Linked DNA regions of Rhinolophus ferrumequinum. The protein of the gene in region 2 interacts with the protein of the main gene of each other region in a biochemical or structural test. Links are inferred from orthologs where the notes say so. Each region holds a gene or a part of one and is shown on either strand. Other genes may lie near its edges.

What was found.
Region 1: the proteins of KPNB1 (region 2) and nuclear pore complex protein Nup153-like form a complex in vitro, tested with the Homo sapiens proteins (4 studies listed by BioGRID and IntAct, with this or other methods). The link is inferred for Rhinolophus ferrumequinum from reciprocal best matches to the Homo sapiens genes KPNB1 and NUP153.
Region 3: the proteins of KPNB1 (region 2) and KPNA4 form a complex in vitro, tested with the Homo sapiens proteins (2 studies listed by BioGRID and IntAct, with this or other methods). The link is inferred for Rhinolophus ferrumequinum from reciprocal best matches to the Homo sapiens genes KPNB1 and KPNA4.

The regions. Positions count from the first base shown.
Region 1 is NC_046292.1:77,275,431-77,285,971, reverse strand, and holds the start of nuclear pore complex protein Nup153-like, read right to left. Parts: upstream 4,781-10,541; 5' UTR 4,263-4,780; coding exon 4,152-4,262; intron 1-4,151. UniProt on the Homo sapiens protein: Component of the nuclear pore complex (NPC), a complex required for the trafficking across the nuclear envelope. Functions as a scaffolding element in the nuclear phase of the NPC essential for normal nucleocytoplasmic transport of proteins and mRNAs.
Region 2 is NC_046304.1:35,250,980-35,262,036, forward strand, and holds the start of KPNB1 (importin subunit beta-1), read right to left. Parts: upstream 4,924-11,057; 5' UTR 4,582-4,923; coding exon 4,542-4,581; intron 4,443-4,541; coding exon 4,384-4,442; intron 2,302-4,383; coding exon 2,119-2,301; intron 1-2,118.
Region 3 is NC_046285.1:79,282,409-79,293,771, forward strand, and holds the start of KPNA4 (importin subunit alpha-3), read left to right. Parts: upstream 1-6,591; 5' UTR 6,592-6,806; coding exon 6,807-6,875; intron 6,876-11,363. UniProt on the Homo sapiens protein: Functions in nuclear protein import as an adapter protein for nuclear receptor KPNB1. Binds specifically and directly to substrates containing either a simple or bipartite NLS motif.

The DNA.
Region 1 (10,541 bases), on a different chromosome or scaffold from region 2:
TTTGTCACTTATTAGACAATGTGGTAAATTCATAAAATACACAAGGGCCTCTCATCACAAACCAAATACACCGTTTCTTCAAACAACTCAATACTTGGATTTATTTCCCTATACACTTAATTGGCTGGTGTTTCTATAAGGAAAATATGTTAAAAGTAAGTATTTAAGAAAGTAATAATAATTTAAGGTTTGGTCTTATCACTTAGCAAATAAGTCCTTAATCCAATATGAGCCTACAAAAAATTGAGCATCAGTATGTAAAGGAAAAAGCTCCAGAAAGAGGTAGCAAAATTCACAGGCAGTTAAAACATTTAAATCAAAAGGTTCTATCTATTTAATCACAATAATTTTAAATGAGTCCTTACTTTATATGCCAGGCCCTAATCTAAGACCTTTACTTCTATTATTTCATTTAACCCTCACAATAATTTCCACTCTACAGATGAGTAAATTAAGCATAGAGAACTTAAATAATTTGTATTTATTTACAGGTTTATTACAAGTCCTGGCAGAACAGCGATTCAAACCTGAGTACTTGACTCCATTAGAGTACTCTTTCCATTCCTACTGTGTTTCCCCGAAAATAAGACCTAGCCGGAAATAAGACCTAGCCGGACAATCAGCTTTAATGCATCTTTTGGAGCAAAAATTAACAAGACCTGGTCTTATTTTACTATATTATAAGACCGGGTCTTATACTATACTATACTGTACTATACTATCCTATAATATCGGGTCTTATATTAATTTCTACTCCAAAAGATGAATTAAAGCTGATTGTCCAGCTAAGTCTTATTTTTGGGGAAACGGGGTATTACCATGGATAGAATTAAATATTTAGGACAAAGCAAATAAAGATAAAATAAGTCAAAACTACTTAGTGACTTCTGAAATGAGTTCAGTATTCAACCTCTAAATATCCCTCCTTTTCAAAACTGAGAACACTCTTTAGTCATCAGATACGAAGTAGGACATACTTATTTGGAACAAAGTATTATATAGAAGGTAGCAATCCAACAAAACACCACCACCAAAAAAAAACCACACTAACATATAAAGGAGTGTTATTTAGGCAACTCATGGTCTGTGGGCCAAATTCGGCCCTTGGCTGGCTTTTACACGGGCCTCAGGCTAAGAATGATTTTACATTTTTTAAACGGTTGTGAAAACAAAGGAAAGAACTTTCAGCAACAAACCTAAAATATTTACTATCTGGCCCTTTACAGAAAACATTTGCAGACTCCTGGTCTAAGTTTCTAAATAGAAATGGGGTTTCCTCCCCTCCTTTTTCAAATAGGCTAATGCAGGAACTGACTTGTAAGACAAACTACAACCTAGGAAGATAAAATGAATGGATTCCCTTAGCTCCAAACCAGAAGATAAAACCTCTGAAGCACACCTCCCAAAAAGGGCAAAAATAAGTAGTTCCCTTGCACCAGGAGGCTGGCAGGAGGTTCTACCAGAGCCAAGGTTCTGGTTTGCCCATGGGCTCAAGTCTTTTGGGGTGGATACTAAGAAAAGCAGCTTGACTTCTCCAGAGCTGACTTTCTGGGCCTGACAATCTGCACAAAAGGAAATCGGAAAGGGGACTGATCAGGTGACATGAACTAACCACATCCTCTTCAGTGACTGGTTCACTCCCAACTAGAAAAATGACAGCATTTCCTAAATGTATGTGGGCTAAGAATTGGGGGCGGGGGGTGGGGGGGGCATGTAGGAGAGAAGGCAAGTGAAAACAGTCAACTTACATTATTCGGGGATGTTATTCATTTTTGCTTCTACCATTCTTAAGTTCCTAACCTTCAGTTAATTGAGTAAGACAATGGATTTCTGTCGCCACAACTTCAAGATGCCATTTTAATGATCAGAAGTTAAAAAAACATAAACTTCAGATATATCTCAGCAGAGCTAATCCAGAAGAAGTCAAAACAGGAAATTACAAGTCAGTGGAACACATGCAAAAGTCACAGGTAATGCGTGACAGCACAAGCCAGTTGGCCTGACAGGCAATGGCAAACCTCCATTAGCTAACAGTGCCAGATCTCTCATTCTTATTCCAACCCTCCACTACACAACCAAAAACCCCAGTTTTGCCCAGAAACCCTTGGACACTTAAATCAAATAACATTCATATAAAACATGCCATGTCATGAAATTGCTTGCTATTCATGATGACTCAGCAGCTGCTGCAAAACAGAGGTGGTAGCCTAGGGTAGTAAGCAGCAAGCAGGTAGTCAGTCTGTAAGTCCACAAAAGTCCCAGTAAGGAGTAAAGAAAGTCCTTATTTTCAGATTTAAAACTCGGTAATATTACATATAATATTATTGTGTATATTCCTGGATACTTTTATGTGCTATTTTCTGCCAATATTAACACCCCACTGTTGATCAAGAAACTCCCAAACATCTTTTATCTTGATTCAAAAGCTAAAAATCTATTTTATTTTTCAATTAAATGACTGAAGCAAGAAGCTGAAAGTATTTTGGATGAGGGAAATGATCAATTATCATGCTCTAAAACAGAACTACAAAGCCTAAAATCCTATCCACTCTTAAGACAATTTGGATCATAGGTGTTATGTTGCTAAGGAATCACCTCCCCAAATTTAGATTTTTACCCAAGTACATTTAAAAATAAGCTGTGATTATAACTTTTGCCACCTAGAATATATTAGTTCCTTTCTAAAATGCCCAGACCATCCAATGATCTGTATTTAAAACATTTCATTTTCTTATGTAGTAACTTTAAGGAGATATAAGAAAGCAAACAGCTATTCTTCACGAGAAACAAAAAGCATGTGTCTAACTTCCATTCTACAAAAGGATTAGGTTAAATGGCCAGGCTTGTGACCTGAATTCTAATCTTAAATCTGCCTGCAAGTCCCTGTTCCTCAAAAAGAAATCTGAAAACCAGGCACTTTCTTTATATATATGAGAGAAAACTGGCGGGATTTAATAGTAATGCCAAGACTTCTAACCATTAGTAGGAAAATACTTAAAATTATAAACCACAATTTTACTATTAAAAATTTCCAAGTCTTTACTTTCAAAATGCTGTTTTTTAATGATACAATTTAACACCAGCAAACACATATTCATCATCCAGAATAAAGCAATCTAGGAAGTCTACGTTTAAGAGAATGCAACAAGTTATCAGACCCTTTTGTTCTACTTTTGTTTTTTAACAAGTTTAAGACACACTTACTTCGCACCTTAATATCACTGAGAAGTTTTATAAATAACTTTTATTAGGATAAATTCCTTTTCATGATTTCAAACACCCCTGAATGTACAAGGTGCTTAAATTATAAGAGCACCAACATTCCTGGAGAGTCAAAAGTACCTAAACTTCTAGAATACGCCCCATAATATTAAAATATTTTGTGCATGAGATCAGAAGTGGCGTCCTGGTCAACTGTGCATAATGGCCAATTCTAACCTCCAAAATACAAGGTGGGGGAGGGGCATATGGGGCGAGGAAAGTGTCTCGCAGCGCAGAAAAGACGTAAGGGTGGAGAGGGACTTTCAAAATGCCCCACTACTACCGTAACTATAACCCGGCTAAGAAAAAAAAAATCTAAGCGAGTGCTCTCAGATCGGGGGATCAAGAGTGGGGGAGAGGGAGAATTAATCACTAGGCTGAGACTAGGTTATTCCACTTTTAGGGTAACAGCACCCCGGTTAATCCCCAGTGCCCCGGAGACAGATGCCTCGCGGCAGCCCCCTTCTACACACACTGAAACGCGGGAGACTAAGAAAACAAGTGTAGGGGCCTCCAGTCACATCGTTTTCCTTTCTCCCTCGAGAGGACGTGAGTAATACCCTCAAACCCCCCAATCCCCGCCAAAAACGAAAGAAACGCGCGCATTACGGGCCTAGAATTTCTGTTCCCGCCCTGTGCCTGTTGGGGGAAGCCCCTGGCCGGGAGGGTTGGGAAGCGGAGGCCGGAACCACACGTGTTTGCTGCAAGGATCGGCCTGTCTTAGACCACTTCCCATCGCCATCCCAGCGGCCTGAGCTCCTACCGCCTCGCTCGAGCCTTTCCTCAAGCCCTCGGGTCCCGTCCACGTGGGGCACCAGGGCCCCTCACCTCCAGTTCCCTCCCGCCGAGTTCCCGACCCGCTAAACCACCCAAGAGTCGGGGTCCCGTACCTGGTGCTTTTGTCGCCCTTGCTGGTAAGGCTTAATTGGCCCCTGATGGCAACGCCGCGACCGTATCTTGCCGCCACCGCCCCCTCCTACTCCTCCGGCTCCCGAGGCCATGGCTGAGCCTCGGCTGCTTCCCGCTCCGGGGCGGGCAAGGGGGCGGGAGAGGCAGAAGCGGCCGCCTTAGAGCCACCCCCCCGCCCAGCCCCAACCCAAAAGTCCGTCCGCGCTGCCCACTCTGTGGGGCACAGGCACACCAGGAACCGCGAGGTTGCGAGCGGAGTGAAGAGAAAATGCGCGCTGGCAGCTGGGAAGGCCGTGGCGGCGACAGAGGCCCAGTAACTGGCTCCGTTCCGGCGGACTCCGGCGGACCACCTCCTCTGTGTATGTCACGGTCTCTATGGAGATCCCCCGCAGAGGACAACCAGAGCGGCCACTCTCGCTGCTAGGCCTAACTAGACCGCCAGCTCATGGCGATTCTTCTTCCGCCGCCCTAGCCGTGGCTGCCGCAGTTGAAGCCGCCGGCGCCGCCCGCCTACCCCTCCCCTCTGCGCACAGCGCCCGCCCCGGCGTCGTCGTCGTCGTCGTCGTCGTCGTCCCTGCAGTCGCCGCTGCTGTTGTGCCTATTGCGGCTGCTACGGCCGCCGCCGCGGTCGCGAGCCAGAACTCCGTCACTCGTCAGCGCCCGACACAATTGCATCATCACCCTGCGATCGGGTGATTGGCGAGGAGGAAGGAAGGGCCGGTTAAGCCCGCGCGCTCTCGGCCGCGGGGCACGCTGGGCAACGTAGTTCAACGGAAGTAAGCGACTTCTCGGAAAGCAAGAAGCGGAAGAAGATGAGCGGGTTGCCGCAGAGGCACAAAGCCAGGGGTTCTGCTCCTTTTACTGCTCTTGGCTGTCAACTTACTTTGAAAATGGCGTGTAATATCAAAGCAATAACCTCCTTCCCACTCTACTTCTCCCCATTGATAAAGCGGGCAGAAAGTAAACGATAATAAAATCAAAGCAGCTAATAATATAAAAAGAAAAAAAGGGGTTGAAAAAACAGTGTCCATTATCTTTAATCCTCAAGCAGAATTAGAAAATATATACAGTTTCATTAATGTTCCATTAAAAATATAGGGGCTTTGTTATCAAACACAAGGGTTGGAATTCTGGCTCTGCCACTCTAGCTTGACCTTGGATAAGGCAAAACCTGAGCCTTGGATTCCTCCTTTATGAATTGGAAACTTTAAAATCCACTTTATAGAGCTGTTGTGATCATCTATGTAGAGCACTTAGTATCTGTTATCTGGTATACAAAAAATGCAATAAATGGTTACAATTATTACCTACACATCGATTCACATTAGAGGTAAGTAGTATATTATCAGTAATAAAAGTACAAAGTACTGACCCCAAATAGAAGGCATTATATTTAGGAAAGTGCATAAGTGAGCTTGGCTCAAGGCCTGAATCCACAAAATGTAGAAATTGTGGGAGCTAACCCTTAGAAAGGCTTTGGTGACCACGTGGTCCAACCCTCATTCAACGGACCAGACAGGAGTCCAGAGAATTCAAAAAGCACATTTGTTTGACAGAGCTAGGCAGGACTATAACCCAACTTCTCTGTTAAGATTTGAGACAACCAAATAATCAGGGAGAAAAATCAACTACTGTGAAAAACAAAACAAAACAAAAAAACAGACTTTATATTCCATTGGAGACAATTGACTTCAAAGCTTATAAATAGCTTTGGAGTCCCAAATAAATAATTTCAAGTCTATCACTTACTAGGTGTGTAGCATTGTGGAATTTTAAATCACTGCATAAATCATACAAGTCAAATTATAAAACCAAACTTACAGTACCTCGGAATTTGTAATACCTTTCAGCACCTAAGGAATCTTGCTGTATCAGGCATAGGTTTACAGAGCAAATAATTTTCAGTGGCATCTGTGACCATAAGCACCAAGACTATTAAAAATTGCCAAATATGATAGACAAAATTCATCTACTTCCTCTTCTGCTTCCTTGTTCTAGCTTCATGCCCGCCTCTACTACCTTACCACTAGACTTTTCCAACTGAAGCACCTCATCCTTCTTAAACATAATTGTTTCTCTTTCACAATTCTTAGCTAGGTATTTGACAAGTAGAATAAAATAATTCCAAATAAGTTAACTCACAGGGAAGACATGTTACCTGAATCTTTAACTGGGCTACATATATAGGAAATTGAACTATAGCCACATCCTTTTCCCTTTCACCCTACCAGACTCAGAATTTCCAGCATAGCAGAGTATACTGGCTGCAACTCAAAATCATCCCTTTTGGGGACTATAAATTAATGTGTGGGACAGCCTTCATAGCCAAGGTTTGAAAGAAAGGGACATGCAAAAGAGCTAGGCCAAACAAGACAAAATTTCAGAATAGAAAATTGGTGGGATTTTTGGAAATGTGATGAAATCCACATCCCCTGTTAGTCTTGATCTCAATTGTTTACCCCACCTTTCAGTTATTTCTTTGAAATAAAACAATATTTGAGGGAACAATAATACATTAGTCCCACATTCGTATGACTTGAGTTATTGCAAACTTTACCAGTCTTGACAACAGAGAAGGAATAAGAGGCAAGAAGAAATTTGCATTCAAAATTTGCCACTGCCTAACTGAACCCTGAAATAGTACTCAGCCTCACTATGGGATGCCTTAACTTCTGTGCAAAGTTTGGGATTCTAAAAAAACATTGTTCCTCTGTTCAAATTCAGTTTGAAGTTACAAATCACCAAACTTAGAGTTCCTCACACATCTCTGGTCAGAAATCCTTCTTCAGTTAGGAATTAGTAGTAGTAGTAGAACGAGTTATAATAAGTTATTCTGATTTGAAAACTTAGAATTCGCCCATATTCAAACATACAAATAATTATTGAATATTTCTCTAAGAGATATTACATGTAAATTGGAAAAAAATATCCAATAGCATGGAACAATAATAGGGATTCTTGAAATCCTTCAACCATATTAGGAGGTAACAGTTTTTTTGAGGAAGGGAATAATTATTTAGTATTTATAATTAAATAGTTTCTTTAAACGATGAAATTTAATCTATTAAAACCCTATGAGATTCTGTAGTTCACAGAATTGGAAGCTACGAAGCGTGATCAAACAATACAGTGAATGTTTAAATAAAAAAAAAGTTACAGTAAAAGACACATTGCCATTAATTCCCCCTCACTTCGAACACACTTATCCCTTCATTCTTGCCAGTTTCTGAAGCAGTCCTGGAAGTCCTCTTTTCTGAGTGCATTTAGTTGTGCTGTCATGGCTGCCTGGATGTCCTGAACCATTTTGACTTTGGGGAAGAGCCCGAAGTCGCACAGTGCCAGATCCGATGAATAAGGTGGATGAGGACACATCATAATGCTTTTATTTGATAGAAATTGCCATATACCAGAAGCAATGTGTGACACGGAGCATTGTCATGATGGGGGATGATTTACAGCATACTTTAAAACACACCTTCTCTCAACCATAGCTCACACCCAACTGGCTGCATTGAACAAGTTGAAGCTTGTCACAGACTGTTACTAGGGTTCAACATGCCACTTTTCCATATTGAAGATCACTGCCTTTCCATTGGATGCCATTTGGCAGCAGCATTCACCGTATTTTGTGATCACAATGGAGAGAAATGTTCTGTGTCACACATCACTTCTGGTACGATAACTTCTGTCAAATAAAAACTTTATGCGGGTGGCCAGGTGGCTCAGTTGGTTAGAGTGCAAGCTCTTAACAAGGTTGCCAGTTTGATTCCCACATGGGCCAGTGAGCTGCACCCTCCACAACTAGATTGAAAAACGACGACTTGACATGTAGCTGATGGGTCCTAGAAAAACACAGTTCTGCAATATTCCCCCCACTAAAAAAAAAAACAAAAACCATTATGGTGTGTCTTCATCCACCTTATTCACTGGATCTGGCACCATGTGACTTCTGGCTCCTCCCCAAAGTCAAAATGACCATGAAAGGTAAATGTTTTGAATCGATTCAGGACATCGAGGCAGCCAGGACTGCACAACTAAAGACACTCACGAAAGATGACTTCCAGAACTGCTTCAGAAAGTGGCAAGAATGACGGGATAAGTGTGTGTAAAGCCCTCATGAGTATTTTGAGGGTTATTAATGTCTTTTACTGTAATATTTTTTTTAATTTAAACATTCACCATACTGTTTGATCATGTCCCGTACTACTTGCAAATTTTGTATCATGAACTATCTTCCTAGTCATCCTTTCCTTTTTATTATTAACTTCTATTCCCATCAGTCTTTAGGCCTAGACAAAACTGAAATAGCTCTAGGAACTGCTCTTTTGTTTTGGGTTGTTTCATTGAGTGTGTTTTAACAGAAACTCCTTTATCCCTTACTAGTTTTTTTTGTTTTGCTTTTTGGGTTTTTTTTTTTTTTTTTTTTTTTTTTTTTTTTTTTTTTTTAGTTTCAGGTGTACAAAACAATGTAATAGTTAGATATTTATACCCCTCACAAAGTGATAGCTCCCTCCCCCAATCTACTATCCCTCTGACATCATATATAGCTGTTACAGTTTCACTGACTCTATTCCTTATGCTGTACTCCACATCTTGTATATATATATATATATATATATATATATGTGTGTGTGTGTATATATATATATATATATATAAAATTATAGTTGACATTCATTATTATTCAGCTTCAGCTTCAGGTGTACACTGCAGTGGTCAGACACCTACACCATCCATGAAACGGTCTCCCTAGTAAGACAAGTTGTCCATCAAATACCCTACAAAATCTTTACAACATTATTGATTATATTCCCCAAACTGTCTTTTTCTTAAACCCCAAGAAGATGAGGAATTTTTCTTATCCTGAATACATAGAGCAGTGTTCAGACATAGCAGTCTCACTGTATGTACTATATAGCTCATTTCCCTAAGATCCAGTTATTACCACTGCCAACTGTTTCCATTTTATTGTAATAAATAATTCAATGATGAATACAGCTAAACTGCTTTACATAACATTTTTCTAGCTTGCATGTAGTTTGCATGTATTTGTTTTCTAGTAATGCATAACACATTAATATTTCTCGAATTCATTTATTTATTCATAATAAAGCATTTATGAGCATCATGAACAAATCCCTCTGATAATGTTATACAGAAATTCTCATGTAATCCTAACAATTCTGAAAGGAATTTTTATCCTCATTTTACTAACAAGGAAGCTCCACATTTGAGGGCACTGAGGAGATAAAAAAAAAAAATTGAAAAAAATCATTTAAAAAATAATAGCACATTAAATATTTGAAATGATTTCTCCTTATTCCAAAGCCCACATTCTTGCCATCACTCTGCCAATTTAGGAACCTACCTACCGTGTTTCCCCGAAAATAAGACCTAACCGAAAAATAAGCCCTAGCATAATTTTTCAGGATGACATACCCTGAACATAAGCTCTAATGCATCTTTTGAAGCAAAAATTAATATAAGATCCGGTCTTATTTTCGGGGAAACACAGTACGTACCACTCAAAACAGTTTTTTCTTCTAAAAGATGTTTTTTCCAGTTCAATGGAGAACTCCATACTTTAGAAACCTCTCTATCTGATGGCCTCCACACTGACTAAAATGTTTAGATTCCAGTCTATCTTATTATATAGTGAGAATGGACATTTGCCAACTGTTTGATGTCATAGCCATTCGAAAGACCAGACTCAAATAGCTGGCTTCAGATCACCTGGGACGGCAAGGACCAAGTAGCCCCCATCATGGCAAGGGGATATAAAGTTACGGTGTAAGATGGGAGTGAAGAGTACATCACTCTTCCAGGAAAGGAAGAAGCAGAAGAAGATACGCGGTATTTGGGTACAATGGATATTGTACATTAGGTCTCCAAGTCTGAGAGAGAAGCCACATTAGCAATATCAACAGAATTCTATGTATATCATAGAAACAAAAGAATGCTGTGAAGGATGAGAAAAAACTCACAGCTATTTATATTCAAACCAAGTAGCAGAACATGACACAAAACACAGAAGGACAGGAATTCCTTCCCAATAATCAAGTTGGAAACAAAGATTAGCCCAACTTCACTTTTCTTAATCCTGGACCCAATTTTTTCAGCCAAAACAGATGGTCTATTGGGAGAGACCTCAATTTATGAAAAGTCTATTGCTACTAAGGTCCCTCTCCTCCACAAACTTTTTAATTTTTTCCCTCATATAATATGGTAACTGCCAATTATAAATTAGCAAATAGAGAGGCTGCTGACCCTTCTCTAAGAGAAAAGGAGTAGTCACTAATTACAAATAAAATACAATTTTGTCTAAACCCAACCTGGATTGAAAAACAGCCTTTATAGATATATTCTTCAAA
Region 2 (11,057 bases):
TCCACTTAAAAGGCAAACAGTTAACCGGTCCTGGCATGAACACAGAACAGAGAGTAGCTGTCAGATATGCAGGGCAGCTCTGCTGACTGGTCAGGTCACTTAGCATCCTGCTTTGTAGCTAGTAATAATGAACTCCCCATTTTACCCCCTTACACAGAATATCATCATCCTGGCCCGCCCACTCCCAACAGCTCTACCCAGTAACAGTTCTGACTGATTCTAAATGGAGGTTTTGCTCTCTAGGGCTACCAGAACTAGAATGGACTTTAATAAAAACTGTATGTCAAAAGACTAAGGCGGGGGGAGGGTCAGGATGAATTGTCCAAAATGACGGGCTGCACAGCTATTACCCGCGTCTAAGAATTACGGTCCCAGAGGCCTTTATACCACGCTGCACATCTCCTAGGACGTATGTGGCGAGCACTGAATCCCATCTACTTTCATCTTTCCTCCTATAAATTGCTTCTGGAAGACCCTTAATTAATATTACTTGAGGTGATTTAGGGGCTACAAATGTACAATTGCCAAGTACTGAGAGTTATTTTTTTTAAAATTAGGGCTGATCCTAATAATAATACTCAATGACCTGAAATAAATAAGAAACTAGCTCTCAATCCAACTCAGACTTCAAAAAAGAAAACCACTAGCACTGAGAAAGTATTAATTACTAGGTGTGCTACAAATGGGAAAAAGGCCCAAATAACTGCTAATTTTTTCTTCATGCACAAGGGCTCAACAATGCCTATACAAATTATTCAAATTTTAGAAAAATTTTGATGTTAAGAGTGATGTGCCCCAAAAAAAAAAGTCAAATTACAATTCTAATCACGCCATCTCATTTTGGGCACTACAGTATAACCAGCAGGATTTGCAGTGATTGATGGAAAAAACTTCCTTTATATCACACTACTGAAGAGGGGATTACAATGTTACTACATAGGCAAACAGAATATAGACAGAAATAGCTCTATGTATTCCAAAGAAGATTGAAAATAAGTTGCCTGCATAACCTCGTTCCCCCCATCATGGATACCTCCATGCAAAACTGGAGAGAGGAGGAGGTACATAACTAGAAAGAAAAATTACTGCCTAAAGGGGCACTCATTTACCTAATGTTCACAACCAGAATCAGGAAATAGCAAATATGTGCATAACCATTATCTGTACAAGTATACATGGAATCCCCCACTGGTTTCCCCTCAAATACCAAGGACCAATGATGACTGCACCGATGCTCGACTTACTCCCCCTTTGTGCCTTATATCCATGTAAGACAGACCATTAAAAAAATCTCATTTAAAAAAAAAAAAAAGCAAAGCACATCAGTCCATGTATTTTGAGTATTTTGCTGCAGTTACAATTATGGATTTCTAATTCAACAAAAAAAAAAAAGTCACAGAAACTCCATGATGCAGATCAACAAGGGACATTCAATCTTCCACAAAATTCACCAGCCCACTCTAAATGCCTTGATCAAAAGCCAGATGTTTCTAAAGAAAGTTTTTCATAATTTGCTAAGTAGATAAAAGCACCATGAACGCCAATCTTGTTTCACAAACTCTTAAGGCTTGAAAAGCCCAAGAGATCATTTAATTCCCCTTCTGACCACACACAGGACCATGCCTAAACCACCAAACAACGAGAATCATCTACGGCAAAAGCTCAACAAGAGTTGGGGGTGCTGGCTGACTGTGGGAGAATCGCTTGGGAAGACAGTTTTTAAAATATCCCTGAGCCTCAAACTCCAAATCAGAATTTCTGGAGGGAACTGGAAAATGCGTATTAACAAATTCCTTAAGTGATTCTTATAACCCAACTCTGGGAACTGTCAATTTGTATACTATTCTAATTCTCCAGACATTCTACAAAATCTGGCATCTAATTAAGTTTCCCAAACTGCTACAGTCTACCTCGGTTATCTGAAAACAATTCTGATCCATTAATGGGAACAGACAAGCTGAACTGAGAAAGATTTAAATCAAATACAATTTTTATCAAGTGAAGGTTTGAGCCCAGCAATCTGTATTATAACTCTATGCCGTGCAAACGACAAAAAAGCTGACAAAAGATTTTTCTTGTTCCTTAGGCTATATGACCAAAGAGAGCAAAGTTACTTACGTAATTCTTGACTTCCCGTCGAGCGTTAGCATCAATAGCAAGCCATCTCTGCTGATATTGTGCCTTGATATCTGGATCTTTAGATGTCAAAGAGTTCTTGATTTGTAGACCAGCTGCAACTCTGGCAACCTGACTGTTTCCTGGATTTGCTAGCACTCTGGACAGTTCCACAAGGAAAGTGGGCTGTTAAAAGAAGCAGCATCCATGAATGGAAATATCTCTTGAGAATTTCACCAACTGAGAATAGCTTATGGAACACCAAAAACACTGAGAAAACCTAAATTTTTTAGAATGTATCATAACGACTCAGAAAACTCAAAAATAACTTTACGACTCCTATAAAAATGTTACTTAATACATTGAAGAAGTCATCCATCTACTCAAGGAGCCTCAGCATTTAACAAGTAATTACAGATTTTCCTACCATCATCATTCTTAGTGCCCTATTCTTCACATTAACACCCCTAGAAATAAAGCAAGTTTGACAATCTGGTAGTCAGAGGGTTTTTCTATGTCCCTAGAACAGTACTCGACAAATATTTGTTGAATGAATTACGTTACCATTGGGTAGAAAAATTTTTCTAAATTAAAAAAACTTAAGTCCGAATGGAATGATACTCAGGGTGGCTTTTGATCTCATGAAAGCAGGTACTCTTGTATGAGAGGGAAATACTTATAAATCTAAAATATAGACTTAGGAGGCCAGTCCTCTGTATTTCAGTTGAGTGTTCAGCAAGAGGCGAACAATGAATAAAGCAGATTCATAAGAAAAAAACTGGCAAACATTTAGAAACGGGAAAACTGAAAAGATAAAAATGTCAAGGAAAATGGTTTTATATTTAAGAGCCACCAGTTAACACTCAAGTCTCCTATACATTTTCTACTTGAGTTGTCCACTAAAAATAGTGGATTTCTAAACAGCATAATCTTTTGTAATGCAGATCCCCAAAACTACTCCCATTATTAAAAAATGTAACACACTCCTCTACCTTGCAAAAAGCTGTCTAAAAGCTTTGCCTGAAGTTATCAGGAAAACCAAAAGCAGATAGTTCCTTACCATTAACAAGTTCTGCAATCACAGAAGGTAAATCTTAAAAGTTTTATTAATTATGTACCACTAAGTAATGTTAGGAATAAGGTAAAAGGCTTCTTGCAAGTTAGCAAAAGCAGAAACAGGAATATACCCTAAATGGAAATGTTTTCAGTCGAAAAAATCCTTTCTATGGAAAGTTAAAGAAAAAAAGGTTAGTAAAACCTAGCACATAAAGGGGGGAAAAAATCAAAGACAGTTTGTATAAAATATGCTGTCCCTTTTTTTTTTTGCTTATTTGCCTAGGTAACACAAAAGAACACATCTGGTTACAGTGTTATTTAGACTTACTACCTATTAGCTTTAAAGATGTCAAGAAACATCCACCCTTCCCTCTGCTCCCCATCCTCCCAACAGGAGAGGAACACCAAAGAGAAACTGTTGGCACACAGGTTATTTCAACCAATCCATCCCACATTTTTATGCAGAAGTCCGGTCTCTAGTGGACTTAGCTTCATTTTTTCTGTACCCCTTAAATTGAAAATATTTAAAACGAGGAACTTTTCTCTGTGATTTCATCTGGAAACAGTTCCGATCTCAAGGATGAGCTCAGCGTGTTGTGTGGGTACAGATTAAGTCTTTACTCATCCAAGTAAAAGAAAGAAAAAAAATACCCCGGGAAAAGAAGGAAAAGGAGAAATATTGTCGGAATGGGTCAAGAGGCATTCGGGTGCCAGGCCTGGCGATGAGCAGAGACCAAGGGAGATAGGAAAGGGTAGAACTCTGAGAAGTAGGTGGAGAAAAATCACAGGGGCCACGGGACAGGAAGGAGAAGCTGGCCCCAGTCAGAACAGGGAGGGCAGCTGGGCTCGGAGCTTCCACATGGCCCCTAGGCCCGGCTCCCCCACCCCCACCCTTGCTGAACACGCAGCGCGGCGCAACCTAACTTCCCTTCCCTCCCTTTTTCTCCCTCCCGCTGCACCGCCGCCCACAGGCCGCGCGGCGATTGGACAGCAGTCACCCCGGCGCGCCGCGCCATTGGCCAGCTGCAGGGGCTCGGGGCGGGACACACCCACCGGCTTCCCGATGGCGGGGTTAGGTTGGACCGGGTGGGGGGGAGGGGGACGGGATGGGGCGGGGTGGGTTCCCGAGGCCTGGGCCTCCGGGAGGGCGGGAAGGCCCGCACGCAGGGGATGGGGAGACCGCGGGATGGGGGACGGCGGGATGGCACGCACCAGGTTCTCCACGGCCGCACGTTCCAGGAACTTCTGCGCCGCTTCCAGTTCCAGCCGATCTGGGGAGAAGTGGGAAAGGGGACAGGGTCAGAGGAACCAGGGCTTCCCTTCCCCCCCACCCAATCACCTCAGCCCGACCCCCGGCCCCCGCGTCCTACCGGGAGACACGGTCTTCTCGAGGATGGTGATCAGCTCCATGGCGGAGGTGGCGGCGGCGACTCCTCCTAAGACGTCGGCCCGGCCTCTCGGGCGGCGGCTCTAACTGGGGATGGGGGTTGGGGGTCGGGTGGGAAGGGAGGGTGGGGTGGGGGGCGGGGGTCACCACCAGCCCATTCACCGGCTCCCTCTTGGTAGTCGCTCCGGCTTCCCTTCCTTCCTCCTTTCCTTCCTTCCTCCCTCCCAATTTTCTGCTGGCGGCGGCGGCAGCTGCTCCTCTGGCGGCGGGGGAGGGACCCCGGGGGCAGCTCAGAGCGCGGCTGGTGCTCTGGTGGCGGAGGGAGAAAGAAGGAAGGGAGGCGGTAAGTGAACGGCGGCTCGCAGGGAGGGAGAGAGAGGGAGGGAGGAAGGCGGAGGGATATTCGGGCCGGACCTCTCCGCGGCGGCACCGCGCTCCACATCGATTGGCTGCCGCCGTGGCCACGCGGTATCTCCCATTGGCCAGGCGGTCAGCGCTGCAGGGCTGCCCTGCACCCATTCGCCCGCTGGTTTCAAGGCCCGGGTTGGCTGGGCGGGCTCCGGAATGGGGCACATGGATTGGCCGAGGGGAGTGAAATCGGGGTGGGGCAGGCCAGAGCCGGCTGCTGATTGGATTGGCCTGGTAAGGTCCTTGCGCTCAGACCGGCTGAACGTTGGGAGGAGAGTGGACCGAAGGCGAGACTCCGGGCTTGCGTGATTGGTTGGGATACTAGGCGTTGATAGGATAGGGCACCGGGGAGAATTGGGGAGAGTAGTTCGGGGTCGGGGCCGCGGAAAGGCGGCAGGCGCCCCGCCGCTGTAGGAGCCCAGCGCGGGGCACGATGGGACGCCCCCGGGAGGGGGCGGAGCTGTGTTCGGGCTGCGGTTGGGAAAGCGCAGTCACTCGGAGGGGCGTGTTGAACAGTTTCGCGGGCTTGAGCGGGGGAGGGGAGACCGTTAAAGCCCTGCACCGCTCCCACAGGAAACTGCTTTAATGGCTAAGCCTCATTGGTACCAGGCTTGTGGCTGGTTAGGACCTTGAAGACCATGCGGTTTAATTTCCAATTTGCAGATGTGGAAACTGAAGCCCAGAGAGGGTACGCGACTTGCGCACGGTTGCACAGCTGGTTAGTGGCCTGCTGGGGACTGGACTCAAGCGCACTGAGTGCCCTTGGCTTTACACCCAGCTTCCCCCTCCAAGGAGGTGAATGCTAATCACTTCCCTCAGATCTATTTATGGGGTTTGAGGTCTGTGCTGCTGTAAGGTCTAATTCACGTGGCGTGGGCATTTGATTTCCTCATAGACCCCCATTGTAGCTACCAGGTACTTGAAGGAATGAAAATGTCTCATTCTGCAAAGGTGCCTTTAAAGGCACAACCGTGAACCAGAAAGAATGCTTGTACAGGCTTAAAGGATCGTGGTTCTTAGCCTTTTTAAGTTCTAAGCCCTGGAAGAAACTAATGAAAGCCTTTCCTTAGCAAAATGCTCATAAAGAAAATGTGCATACAGTACAGTTCTTGACTTCCCCTGACATTGGTACATGGACTCCACGTGAAGAATTTCCTGAATTGTTACATATGATACATGGTTAATTGGATGTAGATACTAGCTTATAGACCTCTTCATCATGCAGCTTGAGCTTGTGGAGTAATTGCCCTACTCTAGCCATTCTGGGAAAACCTAGGAGGAACTGTTCTTACTGAGAGGTTCCACCCAAGAATTAGGCAAGTTTGGCCATTTATCTTTAATCCTTAAAAGAGGAAAAGCTATTTCTCTGCTAGAGATACCTTTGAAATTCTGAAGCTGACGTGTGGGAACGCGAGGCTCACCATCCTGTGACTAGTTGATTTCCTATGGCTTAGCAGTCCTAACCTCAGGCTTTGCTTCATCTAGTAACTGAGGAAGAACTGCCCTGTGTGTGTAACTTCATTAGGAATCAATGAAGGTTAAGTGAGATGACATCCATGAAAATCTTTGAATTGTCCTTATGTGGATTACCCATACTCCAAATGATCCACAATTTTGTCTTACTCCGAGCCTTCTGCCCTCTAGCAGTTTGCTGAGCCTTCTCCTCTGCGCAACATCAGTCATAATACCAGTAAAGGCAAGTGGATTGTTTTTTTTACCCTTCTTCCGCTTCCCCCCCCCCCCCCCCCCCCCCCCCCGCTCTGGTTCAAGCCGTTGTTTCTCAGTCTAGTTGTGTAGGACACAGTCCCTGGCCCATGCTGGTATTATGAGTCTTGCGCTCCCCCCCCCCCCCCCCCACTGAGGCAGTCGATTGCCAGTCGTTGGTCGGCCGGCCGCTCACAGCAGCTCATGGCAGCTCTCGCCGGCTGCCGGCCGCTCATGATGGCTGCCGGCCACTCATGCTGGCCACCAGCCGCTCATGGCAGCACACAGCAGCCCAAGCTGTCTGCTGGCCACTCACGCTGGCTGCCGGCCACTCACGCAGGCCACCAGCTGCTCATGGCTGCACACGATGGCTGCTGGCCACTTGGCAGCTTATGCCACGCTCCGGCTGCTCACGGCAGCCTAGTTCCAGGGCGAGCTGCTGGTCACAATCTTAGCTGTAGAGGGTGCAGCTCACTGGCCCTTGTGGGAATCGAACTGGCGACCTCTGCCTGGGTGTTAGGAGCACAGCGCTCCAACCACCTGAGCCACCGGGCTGGCCCGCAAGTGGATTTTTAAAGCAGCTGGACTAAAATGCTGGGAAGATAAATGCTTTGCAGCAAAGTTCCAGTCAAATATAAGATCCTTACCAAAACCCAAGTGAAATGATTTTTTAGTTCAACTAAGGTTACTGATGGTGCTGTCTAGTCTCTATCAAATCACTCAACACTCTTCATTTCAGCAGATGCTAGTGAGTCACCGAAGTGTGAATGTAGCACACAGACTCCAGAAACTGACTTCCTGAGTTCATATTCCAGCTCTGCCACTTCTTAGCTTATGTGACTTAAATTGCTTACTACGTAAAATGGGGCTAATTATACCTTCCTCATACAGGGTTTTTGGGAGGTCCTGAGTTAATACATGTTCAGTGCTAGGAACACTGCCTGGTGTGTTATATGTTATATATAAATTGGCTATTTAGCATGTATGTTGCACCAAGCAAGTAGTTCGTGGTCCTTGGCCCATTAAGGAAGATCGTCTAATCAGTTAATCTCACAAACAAATGTTAAGTTGTAAAAGTGACAGATGCTAAGGACTGACCTAGTTAGGGGGCTCAGGGAAAACTTAGCTGAGAAATAGAAGAGTGTTATTCAGGTAGAGAAGGGAGGAACAGCATATGCAAAGGCCCTGTGGTAAAAGGGAGCTTGGGGATTCTAAGGACGAACTGGAAGAAGGCCAGGGCCTCCAAAATACAGAACAAGAGATTGAGATAAAGCCAGATTATTGAGTAGGGGAAAGCCCATATGAGACCTTGTATCCTATTTTGTCTATATCTTAAGAGCAAAGAGCAGCCATTGAAAGGTTTTAAGAAGGATGCCTGTAGATGCAGGGATGCAGGGAGACCAGTTAGGAGGCCATTGTAACCAAATAAGGGATCATACTTGTAGAAAGGAGAAGGGTAGAAAGAATAGTGGAAACAGAGATAGATATCAAAGTTAATTGAACTTGGTGACTGATCGAAAGAAGTGTCAATGTCACTGGTACCTATTTGGATTTCTGGTTTGTATTATGAAATGGATGGTGATGCCATTTAGTGTTTCTCAAGTGGGAAGAATTGGAGTCCACATCGTTTAAGAATGAGAAGTACAAAGGAGGCTTTGAGTTGTATTTCTTGAGCTATTTATGAAGTAATGGGTTTTGTTGTTACTCTATAACTTTTGAATGTCAGGAATATTCATGTCTAATAAACAAATTCTGAAATTAAAGAGAATAACTCGTTTCCGTTTTACTCTGTCACTTCCTGCTGTAAGATCCTGAATAATTTACTTAACATTTTGGATCTGTGAAATGGGAGAATGTCACCGCACTGTTGGGTGGTCTAAACAAAACCAGGAGCCTCTCTGTGAGGTGCTTGTGCCAGGAGGTACTCACCAGTACCTGGTAAGCAAGTGAATTGGTGAATGGTCGAGCTCAGCTGCAGTTTCCCCACCCAGGTCTCCCACACACACACACACACACCCCGCCTCCCAACCCACAGCTCGTATATGAGAAGACTGCCAGAGGAGAAGCAGTCAGGCTGAGACCTGGTGCTCTCTCCTCCTGCGTAAAGCTGACTGACCTGGAGAGGGGTTAAACCTTGGCCTCATTAGCGCTGAGGAAGAATGGAGGTGACTATGACATCCGCAAGGCTGAGTGTCCCTCTGCTTAGTGACGATGGGGCAAACATCATAGCCATTTTCCTGACTTTTCACACACTTCTAAATAACAGACAAGGGAGAGAAAGGAGCCAAGAAGACGTTGCTATTATCTTCAATACCCATAAGCAGAATATTATCATAAAAGAATTCTCGTCTCCCCTGGCCTTGCCTGTGCTCACTAGGCTCTAGCCTTCTTTTCCTTTAACACACCATGATCTGTGAGTCTCCTGATTTTGTGATTTGCTGTTCTAGCCCATTATTCCTGTCGCATATCAGGTGTCACTTCTTCAGGCCTTCCCTGGCTACTCTAAGGGCGTTCCGTGGATACTCCTTAGGACAGGACCCTATTTGATTGTCTGCAGAACATGTCTCAAAACCTGAAATTATCTTTTCTCTGCTGTCAGTCCCCACCCCCACTAGAATGCAAGTTCCATGAGAGCAGGGATCTTGTCTGTCTCGTTGGTTGCTAAAATTGTGCCTCACATATCAGGTGCTCACATATTTGTTAACTGAATGAAGCGTGTGTAACTAAACATGCAACGATCCCTTATGGCCCATGAAAAGTGACTTTGTGAAAGGCACTTCTTTTCCAGAGTTATCCGTACTTGCCCCACATGGACCTTGGTTCCCATCAAGCCAACCATCTCACTTGATCCTAAAGCAGTGCTCAGCGCTGTGCTAGGCTGCCGCCTGCCTAAAACTCCCTCCTCATCCTCTGTCTTGAAGGTTGTCCTCTTGTTAACTCGTCCATTCAGCTACGTTAATTGATTGTCTCCCCCACCCTCCAGAGCATTTCAAGTATAACATGGGAGTGGTCAATAAACAGGTATTACTTTCTTGATCAGCAAAATATTTTTTTTAGTTTTCTAAAATCCAGGAAAAGGGGTAGGGAGAAAGTTAGAAGGATTTGTAAGCTCAGGGGTGAGGACCCTGTGGCACCTGGCACAACCAAACCTTTTTAAACAATTTTCTGAACATAGGTGATAATTGTCTTTATTGTATCCCCCTCCTCCAAAGAAGAAAGGGACTTAGTACTGGGGACATAGACAGAAGGAAGGGGGGAAAAGCAAGAATATAGAAGCCTGACTCCTGAGTTAGGAGGGCCTCTGAGAGACATGAGGGAAGTGGAGCAAATTATTTAATGAGTCTTAATCCAAACCCCCTCCTGTGTTTGCCAGAGAGCCTGGAGACAGACCAAACACCCTCAGCCTCTCTCCTTTCATTTATTCAATTCTTTATTCTCTTCCTTTGTCCTTCCGGTTATCAAAGTAACACATGCTCCTCACTGTGTAAATTTTGAAAAGCATCAAGGGTAAGCAGAAATCACCTGTAATCCCAAATTGTATCTATTAAAATAATTGGTATATTTTTCCCAAAAAGTTCAATTGTAAATGAAAACCAAAGTATTACTATGTAACATTTTTGTCACCCCCTAAATGTAACTTTTAAGAATTTTAAATTGGTTCAACTCTTTATCGGGTTGCATTAATAGTATGAACTAAACATATTTGAACTGGCTCTGAAAGTGCAACACAGAAGTAAATAAAGCCTTTTAATTTCATCTTAAACTTTTTTTTTTTTTTAAGCACCAATAGAAAAAGCTGAAAATTGAAAAATCACTGAAGTATGCCCGCTGAGTCACTAACCCTATAAAGCTCACTAAGGCTTCTCTCCCTGGCCAGGTGTTACAGGGAATCTTATATTTTGGGCCAGGGCTCTTCTCATATTTCTGTTTTCTTCTTTCTTTAATTGAATACATACTAAATTTCCATTATCTGCGTTGTTATTTTAGGGAAACCCCAGCTCTTTTCTTCCTGTGTGTCTCCTTTATTCTCACACTACTACCACACAACACTTTCGACACCAGATGTGTAGGCTTTGCCCCCATCAAGAAATTCTCTGATACTAGCTGGGTGTCCTACAGTTTAACTCAATTCTCACACCACCTGAAGATAGCATCAGCTCCCACCCCACGGGATAAGGGCTCAGTCCCATGAGACTGACCCCCGGTTCGGGTGCCAATCACAAGTAGTGGGCCCCGATTACCCACCACTTCTGTCTGACTTGGCTACAATATCAGAGGATCCCACGACCCCCTCCTTGGGTTCCGCTGGAGCAGCTGACAGAACTCAGGGAAGCACTTACCTACATTTACCAGGTTATTAAAGGATATGATAAGGGATGCAGATGAA
Region 3 (11,363 bases), on a different chromosome or scaffold from region 2:
CAGAAAGTAAAATGGAATTGGATATTATTGACCTTCAAATTCTGTCCTTGAAGTATATATTATTTGGTACATTTTTTCCGAGTAAGAGCTATATAAGCATTATTTTAATTTGCAGTACTTTGAAATTTTGCATGACATATCACCATGTATCACTGTGATGCCTAGTTATCTTTATTTTAGCTCTGTCCTTATCTTAGGCTGCAACCATCTTCTAAGAGATCAGATCTAGTAGTTCTTAATGTTGCAGGAACCAGTACCATCAACATCAAGTGAGCACTTGTTAGAAATTCAAATCTTCAGATGATATCCCAGACTTACTAAATCAGAAATTTTGGGGATGGAGTCCACCAGTTTGGGTGATTCAGTCTTGCACGCGGTTCTAATGCACTCTAAAGTTGAGAACTACTGCCTCGGGCATTGCAGAACTGCACCTCTTTAGAGCCTGTTTAGGAAAAAACACTCTTCTGTTTTCTGTTTGTTCACAGCACTACTCTCGCTTCTGATCACCAGATGTGTACTGCAGTATCTTCCCCACACCAAACAATTCTGCACCCACCAACTGGCTGTCCTCCAATTTAACTCAGCTTTGATACTACAGGAGAGAGCGTCAGATCCCACAGGTTGAGGGCTCCTCACCCCACTTCAGACATCAATCACAAGTTCAGGTTGTCACCTGTGCTTTTGACTGACCAACTGTAAATTGGAGGTTCAATTCCTTGGGTTCAATTAATTTGCTCAACCAGCTCACAGAACTTGGAAAAAGTTTACTCACTGGATTACGGGTTTATTATGAAAGGATAATAACACAGAAATAGCCAGATAGAAGAGATGCATGGGGCAAGGTAATGGAGAAAGGGGGCATTGAAGTTCCATGTCCTACTCAGGCTCACCACACTCAGCACCTCCACGTGTCCACTAAATGGAAGCTCTCCAAACCTGTCTTTTTTGGGTTTTTATGGAGGCTTCATTATGAAGGCATGATTGATTAAATCGTTGGCCATTGATTCAACCTCCAATCCCTTTCCCTTCCCCAGATGTCAGAGTGGGGGTAGGGCTAAAAGTTCTAACCCTCTAATTACATAGCTACTTCCCCTGGCAACCAGACCCCCTATCCTTAGGGACTTTCCAAAAGTCATCACATTAACATAAACTCAGATGTAGTTGAAAGGGGTTTATTATGAATAACAAAGGACACCCAATTTCATTCTGGAACTATTTCAGAAGGTGAAAAATAAAGATGCCCCTATAACTCAGGAAATTACAAAGGCTTTAGGTGTTTCATGCCAGGAAACGTGGAGGAAGACCAAATATCTATTTCTTTATATAAATCACAGTATCACTGAGGTCCAGCTGTGGTATAGGCCAGGGAGACAACATGAGTGTTTTGTCTGTTCAGGCTGCTATAACGAAATAACATAAAAAAAAAAAAATACCATAAACCGGGTAGCTTATAAACAACAGAAATTTATTTCTCATAGTTCTACAGGCTGGGAAGTCTAAGATCAAAGCTGATTTGGTGCCTGGTAAGCACTCACTTCCTCATAGACTGCCGTTTTTTCACTGTAACTTCATTTGGAAAAAGGATGAGGGAGCTCTCTGGGGCCTCTTTTATAAGGGTACAGATCCCACTCATGAGGGCTCCACCTTCATGACCTAATTACCTCCCAAAGGGCACACCTCCAAACACCATCATATCGGGTGTGAGGTTTCAACATGTGAATTTGGGGTGGGGGGAAGACACAAACATTCAGCCCATAGCAATGGTCAACTAGAAATGGTGGAGGTTTGGCAGCTAGTCAGATCTGGAATCAAACTGGGGCTCCAGCACTTGTTAATTGTGTAAGGTCTTGAGCAAGTTGCTTTTCCTCTTTGAACCTCAGGTTCCTCACATAGAAAATGGAAATAATAACAACTACCTTGAAAGGTTACTATGAAAACTGAAATTTATGTACCTACAAGGTAATCAGTAGTACTGGCTCCGGTGTCAGGCCCAGTTCAAACACCAGCTGTTTACTGTGTGATTTTGGGCAAATTACTAAACCTCTCTGTGCTTCAAATTTCTCATCTGTCAAGTGGGTAATAATATAATTTAATAATATAATTGTTGTGAGGGTTCAATGAGTTAATATATATCAATTGCTTAGAAGATTGCCTATCACATAATTGCTCAATAATTATTATCTGTTTATAATAGTAGGTAAAGTATGAACTGGCCATGGAATTCTAAGTGTAAGGAACGATGTAATTTTTGTAACTTCATCATCTAACACAATTCCTGGTTATCTGCTACATAATAGAAATACAAATAGTAACAAAGACAATGGATGTGCTCCTCCTGACCAAAGTTGTAAATCCAAATATTTTCCTCATAGAAATATTGCCACATATTGTAACTAGGTTCTATGACATTCTTCTAAGTACCTTATAGATTAAGTAAGGTCTAACCTGAAACATCTAGCCACTAATTATGACCAAGTTTTTGTGCACCTATTTCAAAGAACTAACCTGTAAACAAACTTTTGGCATACTACCCATTTGTAAGTCACTATACTCAGTTGATGCTATTAACACAGAATTTAACTGAGGAGGCATAGTGATCTTTCCAGGCTCACTGATTTCAAGGTTCCAAATAGTGTTCTGTTATACTTATCAGTCTCAAAGTTCCCACTACTTCCCCACTCCCCAAGTTCCTCAAATTGTTAGCCGAATGAAATTTTTTTTTTTAAGGAACACTTATTAACATCTAGTTCTGGGGAACTCTCTGTTTGAGTACACTGCTCTAAGTCATATGATCAGTCTCTTTGACTACTTGGCCTCTTAAGTTGCTCCTTCTGTGGTATTTATATTTTAAAAATTAAAAACGAAGAGTATATATTCTTTCATTTTCCAATAGTTTAGGCCCAAGTAAAAAGCAAGTGAAAAAAGCTTTAGGAAATCTATGCATGTTTGCCTGGCGGCAATATAAATAGATATCAACCAATAATCAGTGATGTATACACATGAATTATAAGTTTTTGTCCAATTAATTAGTTAAAACTAAGCTTAAAAAAACTAAGTCGAAGAAAAACCAAGTGGCTCATTTCTCTCCATCAAATTAATATTAACAGCTAGCCTTTTAAATCATCATCTTTTACCATTCAGGGACTTCAGTCAAAATATTCTTTTCCAGGCTCCTCAAGTTGTAAGTCAGAAACGTTTTCTCAATAAAGAGGAATAAATGAAATCCCCCAATACCTGATCAACTATAATTTCCTAAGAAAATTAAGGTTCATTGTAGTACTAAAGGTCCAATGTTTTTCTCTTATAAAAAAGAACCAGTTATAAAAAACACAAATTACATTTTAGTTAGGATTTAGCAACATGTAAAATTGCTTGTTTCAGCAAATAATACCTAGTTTTGCTCAAGAAATCACACAGAATTCTCCAAACAGTAACAGAAACTATATGATTCATAGTTTAAAGAGAGATTCCACAATCTTCGATTTAATGTATCATGAGAATACTCTAAACTGCTTAAATGAAATAATTATCAATTATAATTCTTTTTGAAATTACATTTGATCAACTAAAACCCTGTGTAAAGCTTCACAAATCCTCACAAATCTCTCTTGCAGAACAGAGAAAGTTTCTTTATTCAGAAAGTAACTCTAAGAGAATTTCATGACACATTGAAAGCAATTATCTCCATAATATTTTAGACTTTTCCTATACTGAAGTACTAACAAGGCAGGATATTAAGTTACCTGATATTGAATATCGTCTTTGAAAACAGGTCTCATATATAAGCATACCTCCTTTTATCGCTTTTCACTTTATTTTGCTTCATAGATGTTGCATTCTTCACAAATTGAAGGCAAGACACTCTACCAGAAAAAATGATTACGACTTTGTTTATTGCGATTGGCTTCATTACAGTGGTCTGGAACCAAATCCACAATATCTCCGAGGTATGCCTGTATAGGTTTTATAGTGTTTGGTTATATTTCATAACTATATTTCAACACAAAAAACATTTGTTAAACAGTCTATGTTAAAATAGACTATTGATGGTATCGATGGCTGCATTTTACTACTTTCTTAGTTCAACAAGTTAAATTTATTAAATCTCCTAACTACAGCTAGAGCTACCATATATTGCCAATTAGGTTACCAATGTGCATTTAGAGCTATTACCAACTGCTTTTCCCCTCTGATGAATTATTTATCTCCTATCTGGGAACAACTGGGAGCACAGATACTAAACATGTAAACTGGATGGCAATGGACAGTGATCATTTCAAATGAAACATTTAGGCCAGCAAACAGACTACCTAAGCATTATAATTAAGGAAATTGTTCATTTTAGCAGTGTGTCACGACTACTTTTAAACATGTGGGGGGCTTGCCCTGAAACCTATGTCTGATCTATTCCCTGACTCTTAATCCTGGAATGAACATGATACCAAATTAAGAATTTTTAGAAGGAACCCAATGTAAATTAGAAACAATAAGAACTCAATCCATATTTTTAATGAAGAAGTGTTAGCTTGTTTTTAAACTTATGGAATATGCACCCAAAGTAGCTTGGATTCAGGTCCTGCATTTGTCAAATAGCCACTGAGAGTCGATAACGTTCCAGGTACTACTAGGTGCTGGGTATGTAGAGAATGAAAGAAATATGGTCCGTGACTTCAGAGAGCTTATTGTCTAAAAAGGAAGACAGACAGACATTAAACAAATAAAAACAAGACTGAAATTACAAATTGTGGTTATTTCCTGTTTGTACTGCATCTTTCTCAATGGGTAACTGTGATCACACCCTTCTTTTAGGAGTATTCTGCAGAGAACCTCCAGTTGTTTAATCATCAGAGACAATCAGTTGTAGCTGGGAGACATGAAGACATTTAATGGTAGATAATTGCATAACCTTTATCAAGAGAGCTATCATGGAATTTATTCCAAAAAGTACAAAATATTCATCTATACATGCATTATAGGGTGGAAATTCACCAGTAATTTGTTGTCTTGAATTCTGCTCATGACAAAAATCCATGTTGATGGAAAAACAAATGTATTTCAGATTTTCAACTGAATTTTCTTATCCTAAACACATTTGGAAAAAAATCAGTGCATTAGTGTGCAATGTTATTTCAATTAAATGATTCTTTGGGTTATAAAGATTTATAATGAACTTCATCATTTAAATTTAAAATCGACACTGAATTTACATTTAAGTTAACCTTCAGCATGTATTATTTCCAAGTACAGCTTCTGTTTGCCTAGGCAGATCAAAAAATACAAAATATTGAGGACTTTAAAGGTGTTATTCCCATTTTAAACGTTTTATCTCTGCATATTGTTCTAGTCAAAAATATACCAGTAAGGAAGTGGGAGGGAAGGAGAGGAGTAAAAGTTCCCAAAGGAGTTTGAATCAGGGACTTCTTCCCCTACCTCACCAAATTTAAACACATCCAAAGCTTCTACACACACACACACACACACACACACACACACTTTCTTTCAGACCTCAGTTGCTGCTGACTACTTCATGTTTTTCCTGCACATTTGAGGTGCTATTAAATATACTTGTAAACAATTTCCTTCTCCGTTTTTCTGAAATATCTGAATACGTTCTTTTGTAGCTGGTCTTATTTCTGCCCCTGGCAATAACATTTCTGATAAAGATGTTTATCCTTGGAATTCATTTCCTTTCTCAACAGAGTTACAATACTACTACTTTACTGTGTCAGGTGCCACGGTCCCCGCCTTACAGAATTTAGGACTTTGTGGCCAAGCAGCTTCTTTAACTTTCTATGACGAAACACCTAGGAGGTGATATCTTCACAAGATCCTTAGCGCTTCCCAAGTTCCTACCTGTTGCGGGGACTTGGTCAGAAGGGTTGAATCAGATTTGTCTAATGCGTCCTTTTCCTTTTCCACCCATGGTTCCCTCCCGCTTTCCGCTGAGCCTCCGGAACGCGTCACCCCAGCCAGTCCAGGCCCCAGGGCCCGGCAGGAACTCCCCGCAGTGGAAACAGAGCTAGGTGGGCACAAGGGGGTGTCCCGACCCGGGATGGAACCGAGGCGCAGCTCCCACTTCCTTTAGCAAAGACAGCGGAGCGCGCAAGTAACGCCTGGGGGAGAGGGCGCACTTGAGAAGAAAAGAACTTAGTTTAGGCTTCCATCCACGACCCCAGATGTCTGGGGCGGCCCCTACAACTGGAGTAAACCAAGTCGTTCCCTGCCTTCTCTTTCCCCTTCCCACCTCCCCTCAAATCTAATTCTCTTTCGCTTCCTCCCCCTAGCTCCGGGGGCACGTGGTCCCTCCCGGCCCTGCTCCGTCTCCGCCGATGCCCACCCCTCCCAGCCTTCCGGGTCTCTAACCCCTTCCTCCCCGCGTCGCTTGCTTTCCTTTTCGTTCGCTCTTCCGCCCCCGCTCTCCATCATCCTTTCTGATTGGTCGAGCTTGGTTGGCCAATCGGCGAGCTAGGCTGGCGGCGGTGGGCGTGGCCACGGCACCGGGGCCCTCAGACCGAGGCTGCCTCCCCCTCTTAGCCGGCAGCACATTCCGCCGCTGTTGCCGCCGCCCGGCCCCGCGGTTGTCTTTGGTGGAGCTGCCGTCGCGCTCGGGTTAGGGCGGGGGGTGGGACGGGCGGGGAGAGGAGAAGGCCGCGACAGAGGCAGGTGAGAGGAGTCAGGAAGGAAGCGGCGGCGCGGCGAGCATAGCAGCTCAGGCGGCGGCCCGGTTCCTGGGAGTGTCGGTGCGGCGTGGTGGTTGGGGCGGATCCCGCGGGGCCCGGGCGGGGGAAGGAATCACCGGCCCGGCCATGGCGGACAACGAGAAACTGGACAACCAGCGGCTCAAGAATTTCAAGAACAAAGGCCGCGACTTGGAGGTAAACTCGCGGGCGCTGGAGGGCTGGGGGGCCGTGAACCTCGGGCGGATCTCCGCCGGGACTTGGAGTGTGGGGAGTAGGGGCGGGAGCCGCCGCCGGGCCGCGGGGGAATGGCGCTGGGGGCCGGCCCGTCCGTGACGCCTCTGCTAATGCTCCGGGAAGTTTGTGTCGGGCCTGGTCCGCCTCCGCCGGGGAGCGAGGTTCCGGGGTACGGCCAGCGCGGCCTAGGCCTGCTCTGCGGAGCCGGTCCGGCGCGGGTGCGAGGGGCTGGGCCGCGCGGCGGAGAGGCCGGGCGCGGCGAGTGCGGAGGAAGCGAGTGTCTGCCGCGCTGCCCGGCCTCGCTGCGGCCCCTACCCCGGCCGCGGCGGCGATGCCGGCCCTCGCTCCGGCACCGGCGTCTGGCGCCGCGGGAAGGAGTGCGGTGGGAGGTGGGGAGGGGCGAGCGTGCGGCGACCGAGTGGGGCTCGGAACTTCCTTAGCGAGGCCCGAGGCGTCTCTACTTAAAGGCATTTTTTCTGGTCTTCCCGACTCCCACTTTACCCTGCCTCCCCCCAATATCCAAACTACAGGAGTCAACTTCTCCGTTGAAAAAAACACCCCCGGCGTGAGAGGCCATCCTGGTGATGCTAACAGTGCCTTCCTGCGGCCTGTGTTTTACTGTGGATATAGCTGATTCAAGATGTGGCTCACGGTGTGCCCTCTTCCAGGCAAAGGATGCCCCTTATTTCAGCTTGTTCACAAATCTCTTTACCCCCTTCTGAGAGACCACCAGCTGCATTCTTACATATAAAGTCCAAAGGGTTATACAAAGCTGTCATCCTCTAGTCTACAGTATCCTTTCCCTCCACCTGCTGGTGGTGGTAGTGGGGGATGGGGTGGGCTATGGAATGGCACCATCGCGTTTTGTTTTAAACGGATGGAAAAAACCTTCATTACCTTATATACAGCTGCTCCCGAGGTGCTTAGGCTACATAAGGTGTGTGGGTAAACACACACACCCCCCACAGATTTTTTGATGGAAGATTTCTTCCCTTAAGTTTTAAGAGTAAGTAAATAGGGTTGTTTTTAATCTATTTTGCATCTGAATCAAGAGTTTAGCTTTTAAGAGAAAGTGGTCAAGTCGTATTTTTTATGTTGTCCTTCTGTGCTTTTTTTATACTGAGATCTTCAAATTCCCATCACCTGTTTCTGAACTTTGAGCATTTGCTTGACTGAGATAGTAATATTTTGGGGGCAGCCCACAAAGCCATTGAATCTCTAAGGTAGTTGGTGCTGTCTTAGTGGGTTTCATAGTTTGAGAGACTATTAAATGGCTGGAACTAGGCTGTTAATTCTCAGACTGTTTTAAGGTTAATATGAGGCATTGATCTTGTGATCCCTCTTTTTTAAATGAAAAAAATTTAACATCTTTGTTGAGATAATTCACATGCCTTAGAAATCACCATTTAAATGTACAATTTATGATTTTCTGTAAATTTACCTAGTTGTGTAATGATGTGACAAAAAATTTTTTACTAATATGCATATTTAAAATGAGAAAAAAATCACAAATGACAAAACTTAAAAGCGTAAATACCACAAAGTTACAAAATCCAAAAAGTAGCAACTAGGTGTTTGACAAATCCTTCCAATCCTTTTCCTCCTCCATTTCTAGCTACATTTTGTTTAAATAGCTTCATTAAGATGTAATTTTCATACCATATAATTCACCCACTTAAAGTGGCTTTTGATATTTTCACACAGTCGTGCAGCCATCAGTATAGTCAATCTTAGAACATTTTCATCATCCTGAAAAGAAACCCAAACTCATTAGCAGTCACTCTCCATTTCCTAATCACTCTTTGTTTAGATTTGCCCATTGTGGACATTTCATATAACTGGAGTTATACAATATGTGACCTTTCGTGACTGATTTCTTTTAGGTAGCATCATGTTTTTTAAGGTTCACACACATGTTTTTATGGCTGAATAATCATCCACTGTATGGCTGTCCTACATTTTGTTTATCCATTCCTCAGTTGATAAACATTTGCATTGTTTCTGCCTTTTAGCTATTACGCACAGTGCTGCTAGGAACATTCATATACACATTTTTGCATGTACCTATGTTTTCATTTCTCTTTGGTTGTATACCTAGGAGTGGAATTACTGGGTCACGTGGTAACTTTATGTGTAACCATTTGTGGGATTGCCAAACTGTTTTCTAAAGTGATCCTTATTTTTTAAATTGATGTTCCCCTTTCCTGTGTATCTCTTACTTTAGTCAAAATAAGATTAAGTGCTGACTTTATATTAGAACAATATTATGTGATTTTAAAAACTAAGTATAAATACACATTAGGCAGGTGTTTTTTGTTTTTTGAGAAGTTCATAGAGCCTTCTGAGCATTCTCGGCCCACTTTGATAATCTTTTGTGTACATTAGGAATAGAAATATTTTCACTTTTCCACAGAAGCAAATGACAGGTGACTCTAATGGAAAGTCATACTTTCTCCTGACTTGTGACTCACTCAAAGTCTCACATGCCTGTAATGAGATGGAAACATCTTTTATTATTCTTAGAGAACACTAGAATAGCCTATTTTGTTATTAATTGCATATATATCTATGTCCCTCAAGACACTTATTATACCCATTCTCCCCCCCCACTGCTAAATATGGTTACTATGTTGTACTACAACAAATTCTAAGAAAATACTGTTTTTTTATTTGGTTGTGATGACATCTGTTTGATTTGGAGGTCTTTGGAAAGACGTATGGACTGTTGCTTTCTAATGAATTTTAGCTAATCCATTATTTCCAAAATTGCAACATGTAATCAATGTAAAAAATTAATGTAATGTTTTATACTCTTTACATACTATGTCTTAAAAATCTGGTTCGCATATTTCAATTCAGACTAGCTACATTTCATGTACTTAATAGCTACAGGTGACTATTGGCTACTTACTAGACAGCACAGATACAGAGGATAGCCTATAGAGTGAGCATTTTTTCATTTGATCTAACATTGTTTGATTTGAAATTATGAAGAGTACAAAATCCTAGAATTTTGTTTAATGTGATCTCTAACTTGGTGACCTTGGGAGAATCAGATTTACGCCTTTTTCCTCTTAAAACTAGAGGTACTTGACATCTGCTTCATGAGTGTTGTGTAGATTAATAGGTTAATGTTAGGAAGCTGCCTAGCAATTCTCTGAGTGTTTTATCACCATCCACTTTTCTGCTTGGGGGAGGAAAGAGATTTAATATGATTCAGTGTAACTTTTACTTTTACTCCTATTTGCAATTGGCTGTTTGTTTTTCTTTGTTCATATGTAACTTAAATTGAACTTAACAATTAATGGGGAAAATTTTTTTTTAATGGGGAAAGTTTTTAATGTGATATATCATTGCTCATTGAAGGGCAGTTTGGGCACAGGGAATTAGTGATCCTTCTGAAGTCATAATTTCTAAATGTTAACACTGATTCATAGCTTCCAATCTCATATTAATTCCTATCTTTCATTCTGCCATTCTGGCTATTCCAAAATGTGGTCATGCTAACTTCTTGAAAGACAAAAGCATCAAAGAAGGCATATGTCGATATCCATTTAAAATAATTTACAGGAAGTGTCAGATGATACTTAGTGCTTGGTTTCTTTCATGCAGTGTGGTAGAGGATCAACATTATTAGTCTGAAAATAGTAACCGTAAAGAGGGGACACGCAGTGCAGCACAGGAAAAGGAAGTGACCAAACTTCAAATAAAAAATTTGTCAGAATAAAGCAAATAAAGCTCATCTAGTTTATGTTTTAAAAGTAGAGGGGAAATTTTTTAGTAGACTTTCTAATAAACCTGCATAATTTTTATAAAAGTTCTGAGACTATCCAGGTTTGAATAGAACGTAAGTTATGTTAGAGGAGTAATTAGATCTTATATAAACACATCTTTTAAGAAAAAAAACTTACCCTGAAAATAAAAGAATATTAAAATACTACATAAATGGAAACTTGTTATTGTCCACACAACATAAAATATCAACTCAGCTTGAACTTTAAAAAGAAAAAAAGTTGCTTTGTTGGCAAGAGTTAAATTGATCAGCTGTTAAAAGTGATCAGCTTTTTTGTTGTTTAGAAATGGCTTTGGTGGTTTGTTAAACTGTACAGAGTAAAAAGCATTGTTAAGCTATTAAGTCTTGTTAACTTTTAGAGACTGACCTCTCTCATCACAAATCTTGGAACATATTTACTATACTTAAAATAACTGCTGTCTAATTTTTCATATAATAGTCCAAGCATGTGACCATATGAAATATCTGATAGAAATATAGTTGGGAATTAACAGTTTTTGTGCCTCTGGCCAGCTTTCCTGGTTTACAAGATAACCAAATTCAGAATTGCTTCTTTGGTAATTTTCTTAGAGATACCAAGATGTCTTTGTTTTCCATAGTCAAATGAATATATAAGATTTGGAAGAGTTGTAGGAATGATTTAGCTTTAAAAGAAT